Linked DNA regions of Nothobranchius furzeri. The protein of the gene in region 2 purifies or fractionates together with the protein of the main gene of each other region. This does not show direct contact. Links are inferred from orthologs where the notes say so. Each region holds a gene or a part of one and is shown on either strand. Other genes may lie near its edges.

The links. The genes of interacting proteins can lie anywhere in the genome.
Region 1: the proteins of ube4a (region 2) and ubxn4 purify together in Homo sapiens (affinity purification with mass spectrometry; 3 studies listed by BioGRID and IntAct, counting the BioPlex papers as one, with this or other methods). This does not show direct contact. The link is inferred for Nothobranchius furzeri from reciprocal best matches to the Homo sapiens genes UBE4A and UBXN4.

The regions. Positions count from the first base shown.
Region 1 is NC_091746.1:33,709,864-33,713,517, forward strand, and holds part of ubxn4 (UBX domain-containing protein 4), read left to right. Parts: intron 1-175; coding exon 176-278; intron 279-1,362; coding exon 1,363-1,494; intron 1,495-3,654. UniProt on the Homo sapiens protein: Involved in endoplasmic reticulum-associated protein degradation (ERAD). Acts as a platform to recruit both UBQLN1 and VCP to the ER during ERAD.
Region 2 is NC_091753.1:38,236,498-38,240,151, reverse strand, and holds part of ube4a (ubiquitin conjugation factor E4 A), read right to left. Parts: intron 3,551-3,654; coding exon 3,418-3,550; intron 3,329-3,417; coding exon 3,138-3,328; intron 803-3,137; coding exon 702-802; intron 473-701; coding exon 359-472; intron 202-358; coding exon 27-201; intron 1-26.

The DNA of each region.
Region 1 (3,654 bases), on a different chromosome or scaffold from region 2:
AGAATAGAATAGAAACATCTTTTATTGTCTTTCAGTGGGGACATTTAGGAGAATGTCTTCAACACCTTAAAATAGAGCTAAACACTGACACCAGCTTCCAGAGATGACCCCAGCTACACCTCTGGAGGGAGATTCTCTGTGTGACTTTTCGTTGTGTGCTTGTGTGTGTGATCAGTGCTGTAGCCAGGATACAGTTCCGGCTCCCAGATGGGTCATCCTTCACCCACCAGTTCTCATCTCAGACCAGGCTGCAGGAGGCCTGGGACTTTGCCGCTGAGGTTTGTGTCATTCCTTGTCCATGTTGTTGTTGTTGTTTTTATCCTCTCACAGGGTGTAACCAGAGCGACGTGGTGACGATGGTTGAGTTGGGTTATTTCAGGAAAAAACTGACCTGAGATCCAGGCTAGTTCAGTAACATTCAGATTTTTCCTTCATGAATAAATGGATCAGATGAGTCACCTGAACTGGAAAAGGAGTAGAATACCCTCTCCGGGTCAGGGATGAGGTCTTGCCTCAAGTGGAGGCGTTTAAGTATCTCAGGGTCTTGTTCACGAGTGAGGGAAAACTGGAGCGTGAGATCGATAGGCGGATTGGTGCTGCGTCTGCAGTGATGCGGGCGTTGTACCGGTTTGTCGTGGTGAAGAGAGAGCTGAGCCAGAAGGCGAAGCTCTCGATTTACCGGTCGATCTACGTTCCCACCCTCACCTATGGTCATGAGCTTTGGGCAGTGACCAAAAGAAGGAGTTTGCAGATACAAGCGGCTGAAATGAATTTCCCCCCAGGGTGGCTGGGCCCTCCCTTAGAGATAGAATGAGAAGCTCGGTCATCTGGGAGGGGCTCGGAGGAGACTCGCTGCTCTTCCACATTGAGAGGAGCCAGTTGAGGTGGCTCTGGCATCTAGTTAGGAGGCCTCCTGGATGCCTCCTGGGTGAGGTTTTCCAGGCACATCCAACCAGGAGAAGACCTAAAGGAGGACCCAGGACACACTGGAGGGATCATGTCTCACGGCTGGCCAGGGAACACCTTAGGATTCTCCAGAGGAGCGGGTCCAAGTGGCTGGGGAGAGGGAAGTCTGGGCCTCCCTGCTTTGGTTACTACCCCCGCGACACAAACCCGGATAAGCGGCTGAAAAGGGATGGATGGATGAACCACCTAATAGGTGTCGCACCTGATCTTGAATCAGTTTGAACATGAACAATTCTTCTAACCAGATCAGACCTACAGAATAGTCCTCCTGTATTTGAACCCTGCACTAAAACTAGGAGCGGTTTTTGGTAAACCCTTGTTCTGAGAGACCCGCCAGTTCTTCTATCTGTTTAATTAACTCTGTAAACTTTGTTTGTTTGTTGTTGTTTTTTTCAGCAAGTGGGAAATCGCTATGGGCACTTCTCTTTAGCGACCATGTTTCCTCGACGAGAGTTCACCAGTGAAGATCTAAGCAGAACCATGCTGGAGCTGGAGCTGAATCCCAGTGCGTCCATTGTGGTCCTGCCAGTAAGTGGTCCAGATTAAAGTTTACCCACTTATAAGCCAATAAAAGAGTTGTCACTATATATTTTACATTCAGCAGTTTTAAAGAACTCTAAACAGATTGTACATCTGTGCTCTTTATGTTTAACTGTCCAGCAGCCAGACCTTCTGTAATCCTGGATCCATGTTTTTCAGGGTTTCTGAAAGTCCGATTAGTGTTTTCTGGGCTTCTCTGCTTACCTCAAGACCCTGATAAGGGGGCAGAAAAGAATGAATGTACATTTGGAACATAGGCTGGAATTTGCTCATGCAACGGTTTCATCATCAAACCATCATTCTCTTTGACAACGTGGCACAGAACCAGGCTGGAGCCAGCAGATTGTTACAGAGACACTCTGGTTCATTAGTTAGATCTCGGTTCCACTGTGGGGTTTGGGACGAGGGTTTTCTGTACCGCTTGTAAAAGCAGTCAGCACAACCGAACTGGGTTGATGGCACTTTCGGGACCACTTCTGTTGTAGGTCCATGACAAAGTGGATCAGTGGAGAACAGAAATACAGTGGGGCAAAAAAGTATTTAGTCAGCCACCGATTGTGCAAGTTCTCCCACTTAAAATGATGACAGAGGTCAGTAATATACATAATAGGTACACTTCAACTGTGAGAGACAGAATGTGAAAAAAAATCCATGAATTCATATGGCAGGATTTTTAAATAATTTATTTGTAAATCAGGGTGGAAAATAAGTATTTGGTCAATAACAAAAATTCAACTCAATACTTTGTAACATAACCTTTGTTGGCAATAACAGAGGTCAAACGATTACTATAGGTCTTTACCAGGTTTGCACACACAGTAGCTGGTATTTTGGCCCATTCCTCCATGCAGATCATCTCGAGAGCAGTGATGTTTTGGGGCTGTCGCCGAGCAACACGGACTTTCAACTCCCTCCACAGATTTTCTATGGGGTTGAGGTCTGGAGACTGGCTAGGCCACTCCAGGACTTTCAAATGCTTCTTACGGAGCCACTCCTTTGTTGCCCGGGCGGTGTGTTTGGGATCATTGTCGTGTTGGAAGACCCAGCCACGTTTCATCTTCAAAGCTCTCACTGATGGAAGGAGGTTTTGGCTCAGAATCTCACGATACATGGCCCCATTCATTCTGTCCTTAACACGGATCAGTCGTCCTGTCCCCTTAGCAGAAAAACAGCCCCAAAGCATGATGTTCCCACCCCCATGCTTCACAGTAGGTATGGTGTTCTTGGGATGCAACTCAGTATTCTTCTTCCTCCAAACACGACAAGTTGAGCTTATACCAAAAAGTTCTACTTTGGTTTCATCTGACCACATGACATTCTCCCAATCCTCTGCTGTATCATCCATGTGCTCTCTGGCAAACTTCAGACGGGCCTGGACATGCACTGGCTTCAGCAGCGGAACACGTCTGGCACTGCAGGATTTGATTCCCTGCCGTTGTAGTGTGTTACTGATGGTGACCTTTGTTACTGTGGTCCCAGCTCTCTGCAGGTCATTCACCAGGTCCCCCCGTGTGGTTCTGGGATTCTTGCTCACCGTTCTCATGATCATTTTGACCCCACGGGATGAGATCTTGCGTGGAGCCCCAGATCGAGGGAGATTATCAGTGGTCTTGTATGTCTTCCATTTTCTGATAATTGCTCCCACAGTTGATTTTTTTCAAACCAAGCTGCTTGCCTATTGTAGATTCACTCTTCCCAGTCTGGTGCAGGTCTACAATTCTTTTCCTGGTGTCCTTCGAAAGCTCTTTGGTCTTGGCCATAGTGGAGTTTGGAGTCTGGCTGTTTGAGGCTGTGGACAGGTGTCTTTTATACAGATAATGAGTTCAAACAGGTGCCATTAATACAGGTAACAAGTGGAGGACAGAGAAGCTTCTTAAAGAAGACGTTACAGGTCTGTGAGAGCAAGAGATTTTCCTTGTTTGAAGTGACCAAATATTTTCTACCCTGATTTACAAATAAATTCTTTAAAAATCCTGCCATGTGAATTCATGGATTTTTTTTCACATTCTGTCTCTCACAGTTGAAGTGTACCTATGATGTAAGTTACTGACCTCTGTCATCATTTTAAGTGGGAGAACTTGCACAATCGGTGGCTGACTAAATACTTTTTTGCCCCACTGTACATCACTACCTGCAACAATCAAAACA
Region 2 (3,654 bases):
ATCTGTAACAGCCTATTGAGCCTGACCTGAGGTGAGGAAGGCTAGTGTCCCGATGGTCTCGTTGGACATGATGTTGTGGAAGCGTCCCAGCTGTCCAAACATCTGCAGGCTCGACTCCTTTTCTCTTCGAGCATCAGGGGCTAGGCCTTCCCACTCACCTCGATCCCGCTCCAGCTGCAGGATCTTGATTTTACTCAAGTACTACACACAAAAGTAAATGTATGAGATGTGGCTCAACACAAAAACCCATGACCAAATCTAAATTTCATCACTGACGACATCATTTTGGGAGGACTTCAAAGCACTGAAAAATGACCAAATAAGTTCAGATCATCGACATATATGCAAGGAAACTCACCTGAATCGCTTCATCCAGCAGAAAGATGGCATCGTTCATCAGTAAGTTGAGGAACTTGAGGAACAGAGGGGGGTTCATGGCCTCCAGGTTTTCAGATGCATAGTTGGCCAAACGCTGAATGAAAAAATATCAAACAGAATAAAAAACAAGTTTGAACTTAACAGAATGCTTTTAGTTGGTAATTACAACTTTTGAATGAGAATGATCTAATCAGTTCAACTGGAGCACAACAAGGAACTCTCCAAACTCCAAACATTTCAGCTTCCTGTTAAAACCACAACTGTCATACCACTGCATGCAGGTGAGAAGACCGCGAGTTCAGATAAACAGTGAAAAACTTTACCTTGATGCTCTCCCTGTAAATGTCCTTGCTCCACATGTACTTGAGAATTGGATACATGGGTCTCCTGTAGTTGAATTTCTGTTCAAATTGATGAGGATCACCTGGAGAACAGACAGATAAGAGGTGAGTAAACTGTTAGCATCTGCTTGTTTACATTGTTCAGCTGTTCTTTATAAAGAGTTCCCTTTTAGTCCACTCACTCGGTACAACACTTATGGTATGAGACGTCACACCTCCGCATGGCCTGACTCAAGACATCTTTAACCACGCCCTTAGGCACATGATGCGTGGTGAAAAGCGGCGGGCCCTGGCTGCATGTACTGTAAACACGCTTACCATCACAGTCATTATTCAGCTCTTACACTCTTCACCTCACTGAGAACACCCAATTTTCTAACTATGTGCAACCAAGCTAGAAGAGCTTTCACTTTACAAAATCAGCTTCAAGGTGCATGAAGTAGGAATGACATCCTGTGGTCAAATCCGAGTACTGCAGCCCAAGCTTCAAAACAAGCAGGTTCGTTGGTTTCGTGGCTGTTGCCAGTTACGGATCAGCGCCAGAAGAGATGAGTTATACACGGTAAGTTGAGTAGATAAATACATTTCACTGTAATACTGAGTTGTTGATAATTGAAAAAGTAGCTTGAGACATTTTCAGAGCAACTATTTGCTTTTATTTCACCGTTAGCGTCGTTAGTGCAACATTTTACCCCATAGAGTAAAACAAAAAGGATGACTGTTCAGAAGACACTGCCACCAAGAAAAGCTGCTCAGACCAAACTCAGGGTGTGTGACCAGCTGTGTTTTACCAATCCAGCTAGAGGTAAGGCTCTGTCCAGAAAGAGGTTCTCTCATTGGATTGTGGAAGCTATCTCACTCGCTTACAACAGCAGGGGTCTCCCTTTACCTCAAGGTGCATGATAGAACATTCAACCGGGGGTATGGTTGCTTCCTGGGTCCTTTGGGCGGGCCTAATATCCAATACTACATTTCTTATATCTTGTTCCGCTAAAACGGTAACTTTATTTAATTACCGTAAATCCTCTAATACAGGCCCGGGTCTGTATTTGACTCAAGCTCATCAAGCTCCAGGCCTTTATTGGAAGGAGGGCCAGTATTAGACGCAGGCCTCTATTTCTATTTGAGCAAAATGAACGAATGTTTCGCTGGAGTTTTTGACAATTAAAATTGCGCCCACATTTTCAAAGTTAAACACAATTCTTTTAACAATGGTAGTTTCTGCTTCAGCCCTCTCCCCCCTCCCCCTGCGCAGCGGCCGCAAACTCACTGATGCGCCTGCAGCCTCTCGGAGTTCCTGCTGCTCTAAACATTAAAATAATTATTTCATTTTCTGTTCCTCACTTCTGATTACCTTCAATGGTGTCTGTTTGTTGCAACCAGCAGGTACAAAAACTAACTTGTTTTTATTTGACTATTTTTCTGTCCTGCCTGTTTATTATCTTCCTGCATCTCCTCTCAATCCTTAAGAAAAACTGCTACCTGGGTTCATATATATTCACCTCACGAGTTACCTTTGAACTGCAGTTCTAAAAGATATACCAACCGCAAAAACAGTGGAGTGCTCGCTGCTTGCCGGCCGCATCAGTGATCAGTGCGTCGGAGGACAAGGTGATGTGCCCCGCTCCACAGCAGCGAAACACATCAGGCGCAAATAAAAGACAGAAAACATTAAAGGAAATGAACCGACATGAACGATCGCGTGTCAGTGCTGACGCTCTGGCAGAGCGCGTTGCCCCCCCGAGCGCAGGAGCTTGTCACCTGCTGACAGCAGGCTGCTGTCTTTTCCGAGGGCTGCATCTTGCCGGTCATTATCACGTGACAGCGACTAGTCGACGACAGGCATAAAAAGTCACTATAGTGAAGTTGACTAGTTCATACAACCCCTATTGCTCCCCAGTGTTCTGCAGCGCACGTTCTCTTTGAACTTGATATCAAATTTTCGCCTCCTCTTCGTCTCCGCACGGTTAAAGTTACACTCGCGGTCTATCACTGGCAAATCAAAAGTGAGACGATGACACAACCGCTCCCGTACTTGCTTGTTACCACATTCCACCCGGCCACAATAAGAGACCGGCCATTATTCACCTCCGCCGACTCCGACACCGGCCAAAATTGGAGACCCAGCCTTTAATTGAATACCGGCCTGTATTAGAGGATTTACGGTAATTTTTCTTCGTGGTCAAGACTGACATATGAGAAACACACACAGAATTGACATGGCGTTTCTCCGTGTCCCGGTGCTAATAGCAAAATAGTACAAATAAAAATATTTAAGGTAAAAAAGGAGGTAGTAAAAGAGAAGACAAAAACACAACATGGCTTTTAAATTCAGTCGATGTCTACTATGCGAACTTAGTAAGTTTTAAAAAGGTCATTTAAAACTAGCAAGTTGAACGTTCTAAGAACTCGCTTCACCTGTAAATTCAATGTCAACAAACACAGTGATGAGGGCCTCGGCCAGCTGAGGAGCATATCTATAGGAGCAGAAGACCCTTTCCCTCTGGTACACAACAGGCTGAGCGGCACCCAGAGCCTGCGGCTCCATGTGAGGCATCACCGCCTCCAACACCTCCGCAAGCTTTGCTCTTAAATGAGGATTCTTCATCCTATTGAGCAAAAAAACAAGGAACAATCTGAAAAGTGGATTGCTTTTTATATTACCGCAACCAAAGTCATGTCAGAAAAAGTCACGTACCTTTCTACATTGCCCATAAAGACAGTAATGAAATTAAGAATCTGCTCCAGACTTTCAGCGGAAGTCTCCAAAACGTCGTCTGCAAAACGCCGTAGGAAGATGAAAAAGTCTCCCACGTTTTCTGCAAAAAACTCTGATAAACACAAGCCAGCTTTTAGTTGAGCCTATCCTTATGGAGAATGCTCAGCAGCGTTGAATAACTGTACTATGAATAACTAACCTCAATTATATTGTATG